3 linked regions of the Arabidopsis thaliana genome follow. The protein of the gene in region 1 interacts with the protein of each later gene in a pairwise test. Each region holds a gene or a part of one and is shown in the gene's direction. Other genes may lie near its edges.

Region 1 (4,001 bases):
TTAGGCTCAGACGAGAGAAGATGCTAACCTGAGCTGAGGAAAATGAAGGTAAAGGAGGGGTTTTTGGTGATTCGCCGATTGTGACGCCGGTGATAGGAGCGATTAGCACCGAGAAGGGATGAAAAAACGATTCTTTCAATTGGGTTATCGAAGGAATCTTCGTATGAGCATAGTGATCAAGTCGGGTTTTCGAGAGCTAGGGATTTGAATTTATTGCTTTGCTTTGACTCCATGTTGGATTAAAAATAGAGAGATGATGTGTCGCAGTGACAGATATAAAAGGGTACGAGAAACCGTCATTTCTTTTCTCTCCTCTCCTTCAAATCCGTTCTTCCTTGAAACCATTTTGGCTCTCTGTTTACAAACTTGGTTTGATTTTTCAATTGCCTCTGTTTCTCTCTCATTCTCTGATTCATCTTCATCAGAATGAACAGGAAGGCCTCTGTTTCCAAGGAGCTCAACGCCAAGCATTCAAAGGTCCCATCTTTTTTTCTCCTCCTTTTCGATTTTTCACCATTGGTTTTGCGTCTGGAAAGTTGAAAGGTTAGAGATTTTGTGTGGGTTATAGATATTGGAAGCACTTTTGAAGCATCCAGACAATCGAGAATGTGCAGATTGTAGATCAAAGTAAGCATCTTGATAACATTATCTCTTTCATGATCATGTAAGAAAAACGATTTAGGAGCATTGTGTTGTTTGGATCTATCTATTTTACAGGGCACCAAGATGGGCAAGTGTGAACCTTGGGATATTCATTTGTATGCAATGTTCTGGAATCCATCGTAGCCTTGGCGTCCACATCTCTCAGGTCCCTAAATAATCTCTCTTTTAATTGATTGTGTTGTAAATGGATCATACAAATTAGGGATACTGATGAATTTTGGACACAGGTAAGGTCTATAACTCTGGATACATGGCTTCCAGATCAGGTTGCTTTCATGAAATGTAAGCTCCTCTTTTGTATATAATGAACACATTCAGTAGTTGAATTTTGTATCAATCCCATAGCTTGATCATCTTATTCTCGGTCTAGCTACCGGTAATGCTAAGGGAAATGAGTATTGGGAATCAGAATTGCCTCAACATTTCGAGAGAAGTTCAAGCGACACGTTTATAAGAGCCAAGTATTGATTCTTTTCTATGTTCGCTTTTGCTTCCTCATCTGCTACAACACAACTTTAGCTTGAATCTTTTTTTCTTCTGTTCGTGTGTGTTTTAGATACAGTGAGAAGAGATGGGTTTCACCGGGAGCGATTCAACCGGCTCCTATAGTTAGCCAGCTAAGCTGCAAAGTTAGTCACTTGGTAGAGAGTGGATATAAACCTGAAACTCCAAAGAAAGCTAGAACTCTTTCACTTGACGAAGAGATCCTTCTTCATCATGTTCTTCAAGTAACACCTCCAGAAACGAGAACTCGTGCGGTATGACAACAAATCTATATCTTTTTGGGTTCTGGTATGATCACTAGATTGGAAATTCATTCAGTTTCCTTGTTTGTCCTGTGGCAAGAATTAACAAAGCTTTTGTAGAAGGATTTTGAATCATTTCCATAAACTGTTGTGCAATGCAGGGTTCGGTAGATATGAAGGAGAATGTATATGTTGTACCTCTACCAGAATTCAAGAAACCAAATCAAAAGAATGAGAATTTCTCCAGTGAAGTAAACCAGAATAGAAGAACCACCATAGCACCACCGTCGAGCTGGGCTACTTTCGACTGTAAGGCCATGATTCAGGCTTTTCTTTTTTTTATCTTCTGTTAGTTTTGAGGTTTTGATTCTAAATCTCTAATGTGAAACAGGAAGAGAAAAGACTCTATGAAGACGAAGAAGATGGAGGTTTTGGAAAAACAAGAATCATCATGTGGGCTTTAATTTTAGTCAAAAGGTTGGCAAAGATGGGATGATGAACTCAAAGTTGGTTCTGTTTTCTAATTCTTTATTCATTCATAATCCAATTTTGGTTGCTTGTAACAAAATCATTTTTAATTCAATGGAAGAGAGACATCTTTGAGTATTTGACAAAAGAGAAAGCAAATACAAGTCACCAATGTGATTATTTTTAATTGCTGGACAAGTAACATCAATTGATTGGTCCACCATACTCCATAACAACCGTAATGATTTCAATAATCACTTTTGAGTTTGTGTTTTATTTGGTTTACACTTTACATAGGAAACGAATAAAATTAAATCAGACCTAAACACACTAACTCGGTCCGGTTTGGTTAATTTTCTTACGGGTTTATTGAGAGATGGGCCTTAGGCCCGAGAGAGAACACAAACTGGAATGAGGAAGAGGAACAGAACAGTTGTGGTGTGTTACGAGTTACGACTGAAGAGTGACGGAGATGGCGGTGAACGCGTGTCTATCTCCGCCGGAGATGATGGCTGTCCGGCCAGGGGAAGGCGTTCCGAATTCAAAATCTACGCAGGGAAAAACTAGGCTCTATCTCACCAAACCTTCATGGATAGTCAGAACTCAGGTCTGAAACCAAAAACCCCCAATTTCTATCTCTAGACTCTTGATATCATTAATAAGAATGAATTCAATGGTTAACAGTCTGGAGCTAAGACGTGTATGAAGTCGAAGGCGAAAGGACGATGCGTAATCTGCCATGGAAGTGGAAGAGTCGATTGTTTCAATTGTTGTGGGAAAGGTAAAGATAAATAACTTCTCTCTCTGGTTCTCAACTTTAAATGTCTCTTATGATTGATTTCTTCGTATTAACTACTTCAGAGAATTGAATTCTTGCTTTTTTGTGATATATGATTGAAGGGAGGACTAATTGTGTGGATGTGGAAATGCTTCCAAGAGGAGAATGGCCTAAATGGTATTCTTGAGGCTTTTATATCTGTTATTTGATTCAAGAACTAAAGGAGTTCAAAATTTTTTTTGGTTGTTTTGGTCACAGGTGCAAGAGTTGTGGAGGGAGTGGATTAAGTGACTGTTCTCGCTGTCTTGGCACCGGAGAGTACAGATACATCATGGGTTTCCGCTTCTTAAACCAAAACGATGATGCCGATCCACAATAATGATTTGGAGAAACTCTTAACGATCATGTCCTTGCCAGTTTTTGTATATGTCCAATGAGGAGGCTTAAGACTTGTTTAGTAATGTTGTATATGGTTGCTCCTGACTTGTTAATATTGTTTGTAATCTTCAAGGATGTTGTTGCAAGTAAAGAGAAATCACCAGTCTACAAGTTCTTTAGGAAGATAAATGAAACGTAGCCACCGTTAGTTTTATATTCTTAAGCTTACATTGCAAAATTGTTGTATCTTGGCTTTGTACTTACTAATGGTATATTTGGATTCTTTAGTATAATGGGAAGGTTCTGAGTCAAAATTTTAGTTATGAGCTGTCTAATTTGATTAAGAATTAGTCTAGTGATGTTTTATCTTCGGCTTTGAGTGTGAAACGAAGCAAAATGGGAGCTGATTAGAGTGTACAATTGTGATATCCGGTTTAGTCAAACCGGATTTAATACATTTTAATTTGATTATCTCGGTTTATTTAGTCAGGCGCGCATCTTTCTTCTTCTTGTGGTTCGATATTCTTATCGTTATGTCTTCCGTCGCTTTGCCGGCGATGAGCTGCCGGAGCTCAGGTGAACAAGTGAAGGAGATTCGCGTTTGTACGAATCGCACCTGCCGAAGACAAGGCTCCTTCCAGATTCTCGAGACTTTAACAGCTCTCGCACCTCCCGAACTCCGAGTCACTCACTGCGCTTGCCTCGGCCGATGCGGCTCCGGTCCAAACCTCGTGGCTCTCCCTCAAGGTCTCATCCTACGTCACTGCGCCACGCCTTCTCGAGCTGCTGAAATTTTGTTCAGCCTATGTGGTGACGGTCGTGAAGCTTCTTCATCCTCCGCCGTCACAGACGCTCTCACGGCTTTAGCGTTAACCAACAATGCTCTCTCTCAAATCGATGCGGGAAATTTCTCTGAAGCCGAAGCACTTCTCACTCAGGTCTGTAGACTTACGAATTTGTCTCAATTT
Region 2 (4,290 bases), on another chromosome or scaffold:
TGGATTCCCATCAGGCGGGTTAACAACTGTGTCAAACAAATGGTGGGGAAGGGCAGAGAAAGGCGGACGAGAAGATGGTGGAGGAGAGAACACTGAAAATGGACATGTAGCAGCTTGTGATGAGACGCAAAATTCTTTGGTAGCTATTAGGAAAAGAATAGCGGAAGAAGGAAGAGAAGCGGTTGAACTTGGTCTGCATCAAGGATTTGGTTCAAAAAGACCAGGCAAGAGAGATCAAGCTTTGCTGTTTCAGATCTTCAACTCTGCAATGCCAAAGGATTGGGTTACCCCTGATTCTTCCTAAGTTCGTTTGTAGATTTAGAACAGAGCTCCCTCTTAAAAATTATGCTCTGTTATATGTAATCCGCAAGTTCATTAACTCCTGCAACTATGTTATTATGTCTCTAAGTGAACTGGAAATACAACAGGAAGACTTGCGATCTTACGAGTCTACAAAATCATTTCTGTTAATTGCAAAAACATGGGAACAAATAATATAGAGACATAAGAACTGTCCTAGAGCCTTTGGAGGAAAATTAACAAAAACAGAGGTGACGCCGAAAGAGGGATTTTTGCTGGTATACGTCTCAGAAATTGGAACCAAACGTACATGCCTTTGGATGATCTAGGCTTTTCGTGCTCTACTGTGCGAGAAACAAGACATGTTTTCATGTCAAATGCCTGCAATGCGAGGATACAAGAAATTATCATGAAAGAGCTTCAATTGCTTCTCAAAAGTTTCGAACAATCAGCATAATAAGATTCAGATAGCAAGCAGCAGCAGTAAGTCCATCAGGCAAACTAAAGACTTCTCTAACTCCAATCCAATCACCTTCTGGGGAGGCTTAATATCTACCCTAACTAAATGCACAAGAGAAGGTAGGATAATGTTTAAGTAAATGATGGACTTATCCTTTTGTGAAAACATATACTACGAATCATGGGAAACCGTGAAACTTGTTTCAGAGATGAAGATGAGGCCAAACAGCATATTGTATCATAACACTCATCACTTAGAAACCCGCTAATGAAACCATAAGACCAAAGTAGCAAAAAGAACTAGATAAGTACCAAAAATTGTTACAACAATAGCAAAATTAGTGTCAAGGAAACCTTAACAAGCTTAAGGTGTGCGCAAAGAGCATCATCAAGTGTTTTACCTCTGGAAAAGCTCCGAAAAGTAGCGAGTACCGTTGTATAAAACGAACCACATCAAAACAACCACCAAAGAATCTGAAAAGAGTTGAGGAAAGGCAAAGAAGATGCAAGCAAAGATCTTAAGTCCTTGTAAACTAGCAAAAAATTATCTCAATTGACAGTATATTATTCAGTAGAGACTATAATCCAAACTCTGAAGTTGAAGACAAAATTTTAAGAAAGTAGCTTTTTAAAAACAAAATTCTAAAATTGAACAGACACAATGCTTAAGACGACAACACAAGAGAACAGAACACAATGCCACCATATATCACCAAAGATGTAAAAATCAAAACTTGCATCTTTCTAATGAAAGGGTAAATCGAAATTGGAGCACAGATAAACCAAAATCGATGGAGAGAACGAATGAAGCATGGAGGGATAGAGTGAGGAAAAAAGGATACTGAAGAGGTATCGTTCCCACCAATCAAGCATGTAGAGCCCGAATGTGACATTATAAAGGTAGATTTTGCGTTGAACCCAGTTCATATCTTCTGATCGATTCCTACAGTAAGAAGCGGGAGATTACAAATCTGAAATTGACAAAAACCTGATCCAAGATTCAAAATTTACCCGGTAAATCTCTGACAGAGAACTTGACAAAGATATACTAAACAGGATTACAAAGCGCCTGGAGATTCTCGATCTAGGGAACTGTATCTGACTCCAGATTTTGATTGAAGTGTCGTCGTCAAATACAGAAGAGAAATCAAATTTTGACGGAGACGTCAAAGTTGGAAAACTCTGTCACGGTAAATACTAATCTCATCCTCAATTCATTTTCCCACCCCGGTTTAGTCTTAATTACCGGTTTAGATGAACCAGGTATTCAAAATCGGTTTGTAGAACTAACCGGATAACGGAGACTGCAATGTCACAGAACGTGTGCGCTTTGTAAGAAGACCAAACATGGTGACGACGACCATCGGCGGAGTTCCGGTGGTGATTGCTCAGTCTCGGAGGATTCCAACGAGCCTGAGATGCTTCTCTGCCACCGCAAATTCTGACCTTCTTCGCTCCCAGCTTGATCGGCTTCACGCGGAGGCAGAGTCCACTCGTGCCAAAGGTGGAATCTTTATTCGCTAATCTTCGTTTTAATGTGTGATTTCAAAGTCGTAGACTTTGGAAAGATGAGGTGCTGGTTTCAGCATGGTTTTACTGCTTGTGAATCCAGTGATTGATGATGTCAATTTGATTTATTTTTGGTCTTTGTTGTTGTTGGTCCAGCAAACAGTAATAGGTTGAGACTTTTGAGATTATCTGAGGCTGCAGAGAATCTACGGGAACAAGCAGCTGTCAATGTTCGAACAGGGAAAGAGAATGATGCCAGAGATCTACTTCTTCAGAAGAAAAAAGTTATGCAAGCTTTGGACAAGGCTAAAGCTCGTATCGAGTTGCTCGATACGCTTTCTTCCAAACTTAACGAGGTACAAACAAACAATACTCTTACTTGTTAAGAAATGTTATTGTTTTGGTTGTTTGTTTGTTTTCAATTGCCCCAGAAATCTATCTAACTATGTCTTGAAAGCTTGGTTTGGTTTCAGGCAATATCTGTCAAGGAAACACAGCTGATAGGCAATATATCTTTGGATCTCGAAGAGGATGGAGAGAATACTTCAGGTGGTATCCACATTGTATCGCCAAAGCCCGAATCTACTGAAGACGGGGTCGAAAATGACCACACTCACTTGGATTCTGAGGGAATTCAACTTATTGAAAGGAATGTTGAGGATTACCAAGAACTTCTTGATACCAATAATAATGTACTAGAAGATGTTTCAATAGGTAGCATCCTGAAAGAAGTGTCTTCTTATGAATCTTTCTTGGAAAATTTAGACCAGAAACTTAGCAGAATCGAAGCTGAACTAGTTACTGTTGTAAATGTTGCATCCTTGGTGCTTAATCATGAAGATAAACCCAAGAATCTTAAGGTTCAGCAGACTGCAGAAATTCTTGAAGAGATTCGTCGTGTGAGGGAAAGGTAATGCATTCAAAGCATCACTAAGTTTTACTTCTAACACTGCAGAATTACTCAGTCCATTAAGTTTTGTTTTGCTTGTGTAGAATCGCAAATATCATTTGCAAAGAGGCAAACATCAGTTAGTGTGCTTCAAGCATTACTTACCAGCGCAGTGAACTAAAGAAAGGAAGCCACTCTTGGTATGAAAAGTTAATCTAGCAATTTTCCTTTCTTTAATCATTCTGTTTAGACAGGTATAGTCATTTTCTTGGTGTGAATATTAATATCTTCTAAGGTGATACATTAAATTTTGATGTGATATGAAGTTAATATGGTCGTTCACGTTAATGTTGTTGTGATATGGGATCATGATTATTAATGTGATATCAATACTTAGGAGCATCATTAAGTAAATAATAAGTGAATAACATACTATTAGATTAGATGTATACAATTAATATTGATTTCAACTAACTCTGAAATCATTTCATTTGTTCTAGGAATAAAATTAATGGCACTAAAGCGACAGGTTGAGATTATGGACTATACAAATCCAGAAACAAAATCATATAAAGCAAACATTTTCAATACATATCAATGGTCCCGAGTGATAAGAAATAGAAATGATGCCAATGAATCAACCATATAGAATTAAACATCTAAGTCCTGAAATAACAATAATATTTAGCTTTTCAAACAAACAAAAAAACTAATGAAAATTCGGAATAGTTTATCTGACAATGCCTTCATTTCCAGCAAGAACCAAGTACTTATCCCTCCTTGTGAGATTAGTGCATTCAAATCCCAAAACCCTAGCAAGTTCTCCCTGTATGAAATTCGCAACTTCAAAGCTTGACTTGCCTCCTGCACAAGTCATCTCTTTTGGCAACTTCTTTAAAATCTCAAGACAATAAACCGGCCTAGGGTTCATGAGGAAGAAGATAGGGTCTAAACACTTGAGCCCGCTCGCAGTTGTCCCATAGAACATGCTCACTCGAGCATCTACAGCCACGGGAACAATGTCTTCAGTTAACTCAGCGAACAAAGGACTGAACCTTAGTAGATAAGGCTCTCTACATGTGGTTCCCTCCGGACAAACCACTAGATCTCCTTTGCTTAATAGTCTCTGCATT
Region 3 (7,337 bases), on another chromosome or scaffold:
AGTGCTTGGTTACACAAAACCACCATGTCAAAGATTTTATGCGAAAACCTAAAACACGAGCATGCATGTAGCTCGATTGTTCAACCAGAGAAATCAAACTCGGAGCTATACCGAAATTATGTTCTGATTGGACTAATCGACTTATAGACGCATGTTTTCATATCTAAGTTTTTGATGGCCTTTTTAGTCCATATAAGTTTTTTTAAAATGCAGCATACTAATATTTGAATTCAGACTCTATTTTGATCTAGACCTACTAGGAAAACTCAAACAAATTGAGTTTAGTGATATATTGAGAGGTAAAATACTAAAATGGTCTAACTAATACAACTTACATGTTTAGTAGAACTTAAATTATGCTTTATTTACAAGACTAAAAGAGTAGTTAAACTTGAAATCTTAAACTGTCGCCGTAGAAATAACAATTGGGTCAAGAAAAGTTTTCTAATCCTTATCAAAATAGAAAAGTTTTCTAATATAATAGAAAAAACACCCGTAAGTGGGAAAACATCTTCTACAAACTTAATAAGAAAAGGATATACATATCTCCAATCCACATGCGAATAGTTTTGGGTCAAATCTCTACGCTTCGCGTAACAAATTGAATTTGTCAAACAATTTGAGCATGACATGATGAAAAAAGGCCAGAGTCATGTTAATTCGTCGTATCGTAACTCCGACTTCTGACTTTCTCCATTCTTTTTAACGAAACGATAAGTCAACTTTTAACCGAAAAGGACTACAAGTCAATTTATTCATTAATGCTCTACGTGCATAGGTTATACTTATTGGTTACCCTATAGAAGTTGAACCGTGAGATCAAAAATCATGTTAGATAAACCGGCTCCGTTCTTTGTGACGTTGACATATATTTTTCTTAGGCCAGAGACTATAGCTAGATAAATAACTCCATTCTTGGCTGCTCGTAGGATACGAACCCAAAACTTGGTCATATTTTATCTCAAAAATAAGATCCCAAAAAATATCGACTATTAGAGCTATCGATACCATACGTGTTTCAAAGATGTAAATTTGAACCCCTCTACCTTGAAAGCGTGTATAAGGCTTATTTTCTGAAAAAAAGTGTTAGCTCATCTAACATATACAAAGATTAAAGATTGGATCGTTGACAGAAGAAAAGATTTACAAAAATTTGGATCTTGTGAATTAGTTACTATTGGGCTAAATAAAAGCCCATGTATGTATTTATTGGACCAGACCTAATTTTTGTACCAGGGCCTGAGGACTATATCCAACACAAACCACAATTTCAAATATTATTTTGGCGTTTTAACTTCTAAACGCTTTATCTTTATCATGCGACTTGCCAGATGCCAACCCAAGCCACGTGCATTACGATTCAACTAATTTTTTGTTGTCTTTTTTTCCCCTTTTTAACGAGGCAAAATAGTAGAAATATTTTTCTATTTTCATGAAATTGTAGAAGAAAATAGTAAAATTTCCGAATTTTCCTAATCTATAGTTTCACTTTAGATAAAATAATACTTAGCGTGACGAAGGCAACTGGCTTATTCAACTTTATGTGTTTAATAAAAGATAAAATAAATAATAATTTCGTATATATTTCTCTCCTTTGTTCATAAAATAATTAAAATATTTTTGATTGATTCTTTCGAAAAGTAAAAAAACTCATTTAATTACAAGAATATAATATATGTTAACCCACCATGACAAACATATATTTTGACATCTTAGATAACAAGTAACTAAATTAATTACATTCCTTTTTATTTTATTTTCTTTTTAATTTTATGTGAATGTAAAAAACAAGAAAAAAAATAAAATTTATTTTTCTCTCTCGCTTGGTTCAACCGTGGTTGTTCATCGGAAAAATATCTTCGGCTTCAATTTCGTTCGATTTACCCTAAATTCTCGACTAGTGTTCGTCAATCCCACTTCCAATTCCACATTTCAAACCTTTTCAGGTAATATTTCTCATATTTTTCGTGTTTTTTTTCGGGGTCAAACTTATTTTTTTAAAAATTTCAATTCAAATTTCGAGTTTGTATTTAGTAACCCTAGTTCTTAATTTTTCAATTTTTCGTCTTCCCTTATGAGATTTAGCTTAATTAGGGTATTGAATTAAGTAGAATTGGGTTTTTGTTTTTGTTGTGATCTGGTGAAATTAATTTTAGGGTTTTATTGAAGGTGAAATTTGTTTGTTCTTCGTTATATCTTCGAAATTAGGGTTTTTCAAATTTGTGTCGTGGATGTAAAAATTATGAATTGCCTGTAAAATTTTTCTGTCGGTTGCTAAATTTCTTGTGATTTTAGTTGATGATCGCTATGTAGAGTTTCGCCTTTTTTTTGGGATTTTGAATGTTCATGGTTTAGGATTCATTGCTCTGATTTGTAGGAAGTTGAAATCAAAAGCATGAATGCTTAAACAGTTTACGCATTATTGCGAAATGCAAGCCGAGCTGATACCCGAAGGTCCTAACGGTGAGGGCCGTTTATCAAACCAGAACAGCAACCCTAATTTACTCTCTTCTGCTTCTATCAGTATTACTCAGTTTCCTGGTATGTTGCATTGATTTAAAAGTTGTGCTTGTATGCTTGTTTTGTTAGCTTAGTTGATTTTTTTTAATGGAAATGGCGATGTTGCAGCTAAGAAGCCGACTAGGCAATGGGCTGCTTGGACACATCAAGAAGAGGAAAGTTTCTTCACTGCTCTTCGTCAAGTTGGAAAGGTATCACCTTGACGTTCTTCTTCTCTATGTTGTTAACCTGTTATGTGTGTGAACCTTCTCTTTGTGTTGTTTTGTAGAATTTTGAGAAGATAACTTCTCGTGTTCAGAGCAAAAACAAGGACCAGGTTGGTTGTTTTAGTTTTGTGTTTGTTTTCTTTTCGCTTGCACTTGCTGGTGTTTGCTTTTAGTTTCTGATGGTTGTGGAAACTTCTTGTGATTTGCAGGTCAGGCATTACTATTATCGTTTAGTGAGGCGTATGAACAAACTTTTGGGCCCGGATCTGAGCCTTGATGCCAAGAACCCAAAGGACACCAATGCTGCAATGCTACGATGGTACTTGATTTATACATTTCTTTTCTGTTATGCTTTGTGCTGGTATGGTAGATTGTTACGTTATCGTAAACAAATGATGAATATCACTCTCCGGGTATTTTTCTAGATAACAAGTTATAGCATGTTATGATACTATGAGTATTATTAAGTAGGCATGGTCACATTCATTTAAGGGTTCCATTTGCGTAAAGTAATTTCTGTAGTATAGCTATGCATTTCCTGCTAGTGACAATATAATGTTAAGGTAAGGTTTTTTGTTTTTTTCATGTGCTTTGATAATATCTGCCAGGAACCTCATACATGATCAGATAGTAGCAACTGACTTATATTTCAGACATCATAGCTTCTTCCATTCTCCTAGATGACATGATTTCACATATCATGATCTTAATTATCACTCAGCTCGTCTGACTAAAGTAAACATGCTTTTTCATGTGTCTTGCAGGTGGTCTTTGCTTGAAAAGTATAGCTGCAAAGCTTCAAAACTTCATCTCAAGCCCCGGAGATTCAAACTATTTATAGAGGCCTTGGTTAGTTGGCAAATGCGAATTTCGTTTAACCCAAAACCACCTTGGATTTGACAAGGAATCGTTTACAAACTATTGTCTAACAAAACCTTTTGCATGAAGGAACACCAATTGCTGAAAGACCGCAGAAAGAGCATAAGAAAACGGACTTGCCAGGGAGAAAATCTCTCTTCTGCTTCCCTCGGAAACATCTCAAGTCATAGTAGAGAAAGAGGATTGGATAACCGTCCATTTAAACTTATTCTCTCCGACGGCCAAAATGTTAAAAAGCTAGGGCCTGGAAGAGCATCTACCAAACATGGTGAAAGCTTAAGTGTCAACCTTGGTGACGAAAAAGAAGACACAGCCTTTGGGAGAGGTGGAAGGCAACGGCGAAAACAAGGTTCTTTCTTTACTAGTTTTTATGCATGTTTGTTAGATAGGCAGTTTTCTTCAGCCCCATATTGTGTGTGTTTTCAGTGTTCACACAAATTTGGACATTATCTGCTTTTAATCTTCCATGTTGATATTAGATTTTATGTTGCTATTTAAAAGCTTGATGTAGTTCCAGGTTCTTACGTGACTCTAAGCATCTCTTCCTTTTTCAGCAGGTTATAGAAAATGGGAAAAAGCTGCAATAGATGGGGTCTCTCTGGTTGCTGATGCTGCAGAGCATTTGGAACGAACATCAATTGACAAAGATATGGATGATCAAACAGGTTTACTTACTAGTATTGGATGATAGTTCCTTTTCTTAGATATATGTTTTTTGAGGACTAACATGTGCAAATTCTAAATCAGATTCTCTTTTTATCTTAGATTTAGGTCCCACAAGATATTTAACCGGAAAGTCTCCACTTTCTCTATGCTCAGCTGGTGATGTTCCTCTCAGTGATGCCAATATGCAGTTTTCTGCCAAGCTTAAACTTCAGCTGTTCCCGATTGATGAATGTACTCGAAGATCCTTGGAAATGGTAAGCTTCAAATAGGAATTATACTGATTGGAGCAATAATTTTCTGAGACATGAAATGGAGCTTGATCTGTTAACACTTAACACTTTAACAGGATAAGCACAATCCGCATCTTGAACTTACTCTTAGTAATCGCAAGAAGATATCATCTGTACTTGAACATCTCAATCGCAAATGGGGAAGCTCAAGTTGTGCGACTGGAGAGCTATTGCTATTTCCTTACAACGCACGAAAAGAAACTGTAACGTGCCATCAGAGGTGGACCCATGACTCTTTTCTAAGCGCAGCAGAAGTGCATTCAATGGTCGGAAGTCCTTCGGTTTTCCGCTTAAGGTTTGCTCTCATATTTTCCTAGTCTCTTGCAGGTTTCTTCTCGTCAAATTGTCATACAAGATAAACCAAAATTAATTTACTTATATGTATTTGCAGGTATGGTTGGTTTGTCCATGATGCGTCAGGTTCTATTATTTCTCAAGTTCCAACTTCAGATCCTTGCCCTTCACTCGAGGATGACATGAATGTGGATAGGTTGAACGAGGTCAACATGCTCCTTACTGAATCAGGACCCTTGTCTGTGCATTCAACTGCTGAACAAACGACATCTGTAGAGCCCAGTCAGGGTCTAGTATGTGCATCTGGTGTCCATGATCGTCCCGCAAGATCTAGAGATGATTATGAACCTGCTTCAACGAGTATTACTCCACTTGAGCATTTGAGCGGCGGTAATGCACAATCACCAGGAGAATGGGCTGATAGTCTTACTAACATAAGTATAGGTGATCTACTTTCTGAAGTGCCCGATGACATAGATAGTGATGGTGTTGATCCACCTGCCACCGAAGGTTCACATTACCTCCTTCGAGATGTCCCATTTACCTCTGACTCTTTTGATGCTGCAATTGCTGCTCATATACTAAGACACCAGAACAAGCCAAGTGCTCAACTACCGCTGACTTCTGGCTCTTCCTCTCTGTGGGATGATGAAGAAACACGTGATGCCTTCTCTTTCCAAAAAAATCGTTTCGCAAATTCCACCGAGCTGGCTAGTGTTGCTTCTCCTAAAGGTGTTGGCAGAGTAAATGGAGAGCCTTCACAGTTGGTGGAGGTAACTATATCAGCCTCAAATTCCACTTCCCTCAATTGTTTACAAAACTAAACCATCTGATTCAATACTTTCTCTTAGGCTTCATCCGGCGATGAGGGATCTTATAACCCTCATGACGATGGAGATCCAATGGAAGAGGGTCCAGCAGACCCTCATACGATGGATTCTCCAGGGAAGACCCCTTGTGGACTTGCGGATGTATACTGGGTAAATTTAGAAATCTCATATATTTCCCCAATGTAAAAAAGTCATATATATTCAACAACAACACATGTTTCCTCTTTGCAGCCCGACTCGTTAGGACCACTGGATTTAGACATTAGATCGTCAAAGTATACAGATGATTTGATCCTTAGTGAGAGCCTCGGGGGATTGAGCCGTCTGATAGCAACCAGCCTTGATGCGTTTCAGAACTGCTCGCTCTTTGGGTTCGACAATAAGAAGGACAAGTCTAACATGGTATGAAATGGAACCAAAGCTAAAGCATGGGGTCCAAATGTTGATAGTTGAAAAAGAAAGTGACTTCTTGCCTTTTGAAAAAAGAAACTTTTATCACCAACTGATAGCTTCACTGTACAAAAATTTGATGTAACCTTTTACTCTTCCTTTCACACATTCTTTTGTGTTGATACATGTTTCTCTGTGTACACTTTTACTGTTAATTTACATGTTTATTTGGCTACCATGCCTTCTTTCTTTTTTTTTTCTTTTTTTTTGTTCTTTTGTTTATAGAAGTTTCATGACAAATAAGAATTTCAATTAATATTCTTAAGTTCTTTTAAGAGTGCGAGTAAAAGAACAATCGTAGGACGCAAAATTTAACTCGCTCATTCAAGAGTAGTGTTGATAAGTCCTTTTTTTTTTCATTTCAATATTCTACCCGAAAAAGATTCCAAACTTCTACTTTTCTACACTTGATCACCACTATAATCGAAGATTTATGAACAATAGACTCTTTAATAAAGTAAATAAATCATTTAAAACTAAGTTTGTTTGTTGTCTTGATCATATGTGTTCAAATTGGTTTTCTCTTCTATTCTCTACATTAAAACATCCTCCAACATTCAGTTTTCTCACTCTCAATGAACCAGTAATACACACCCTAGGTGCACTAGATTTCATTCAAAACTAAATCTGGTTCACTAAACCAAACCATATTGATTTTCAGGAGGAAAACCACTTTTTTTAGTGTGTAGTACGAGTAAGTTTACACCCTGAGATGCAGGGTTTTTTCTTTGTCTTTTGCTAAGTGCGTGAGATGCAGTTTTACCCCTAGTTAGAGGAAAACAATGAATTTGTGTAATTTTAACATTTTCTTGTTATGAGGAATATGCTCTGAATAATGAGAACCATACAAGATACAACAATGACATAAGCCAAGTTGTCATAAAAGGCCAAATGTGCTTTAATGTGTGATACACCGCTTTACACTGGCCTACTCTTTCACTTCACGTCAAGTTCGTAAACGAAGAGACAATCTCTACGTGCCCTCCCCTTGAATATTCAGCATCATCTTCTTTTTTTGAAATCAAATTTGACGGCTTCTGTTGTCACAGGATATACTATAGACAACAAAACTACATATGATACAAGGCATATTCGAGTTCTGATCATTCACAATAAAATACATGTGATAGAAGCAATTTAAATATGTGCCTGAAATATATAAATCAAGAAAGCCATTAATCAAAGGTTAAAGCAATATGGAT

The links. The genes of interacting proteins can lie anywhere in the genome.
Region 2: the proteins of ENA (region 1) and AT1G06510 interact in a two-hybrid assay, tested with the Arabidopsis thaliana proteins (one large-scale study listed by BioGRID).
Region 3: the proteins of ENA (region 1) and TKI1 interact in a two-hybrid assay, tested with the Arabidopsis thaliana proteins (one large-scale study listed by BioGRID).

The regions. Positions count from the first base shown.
Region 1 is NC_003074.8:6,037,291-6,041,291, forward strand, and holds ENA (DnaJ/Hsp40 cysteine-rich domain superfamily protein), read left to right. Parts: upstream 1-2,117; 5' UTR 2,118-2,349; coding exon 2,350-2,484; intron 2,485-2,561; coding exon 2,562-2,658; intron 2,659-2,777; coding exon 2,778-2,832; coding exon of another isoform or gene 2,833-2,842; exon of another isoform or gene 2,843-2,913; coding exon 2,914-3,034; 3' UTR 3,035-3,343; downstream 3,344-4,001. Other genes in the region: AGD15 (ARF-GAP domain 15), read left to right, coding at 427-477, 569-627, 718-808, 891-945, 1,034-1,124, 1,220-1,421, 1,571-1,762; AT3G17670 (tetratricopeptide repeat (TPR)-containing protein), read left to right, coding at 3,567-3,971.
Region 2 is NC_003070.9:1,990,283-1,994,572, forward strand, and holds AT1G06510 (forkhead-associated domain protein), read left to right. Parts: upstream 1-1,946; 5' UTR 1,947-2,106; coding exon 2,107-2,263; intron 2,264-2,424; coding exon 2,425-2,624; intron 2,625-2,741; coding exon 2,742-3,178; intron 3,179-3,261; coding exon 3,262-3,301; 3' UTR 3,302-3,559; downstream 3,560-4,290. Other genes in the region: AT1G06500 (uncharacterized protein), read left to right, coding at 1-304; AT1G06515 (transmembrane protein, putative (DUF3317)), read right to left, coding at 669-681, 1,161-1,233, 1,602-1,686; GPAT1 (glycerol-3-phosphate acyltransferase 1), read right to left, coding at 3,888-4,290.
Region 3 is NC_003071.7:15,521,153-15,528,489, forward strand, and holds TKI1 (TSL-kinase interacting protein 1), read left to right. Parts: upstream 1-1,767; 5' UTR 1,768-1,946; intron 1,947-2,316; exon of another isoform or gene 2,317-2,377; 5' UTR 2,378-2,399; coding exon 2,400-2,541; intron 2,542-2,628; coding exon 2,629-2,711; intron 2,712-2,788; coding exon 2,789-2,836; intron 2,837-2,935; coding exon 2,936-3,045; intron 3,046-3,490; coding exon 3,491-3,575; intron 3,576-3,674; coding exon 3,675-3,954; intron 3,955-4,159; coding exon 4,160-4,270; intron 4,271-4,370; coding exon 4,371-4,525; intron 4,526-4,617; coding exon 4,618-4,856; intron 4,857-4,952; coding exon 4,953-5,628; intron 5,629-5,706; coding exon 5,707-5,835; intron 5,836-5,916; coding exon 5,917-6,093; 3' UTR 6,094-6,344; intron 6,345-6,479; 3' UTR 6,480-6,606; downstream 6,607-7,337.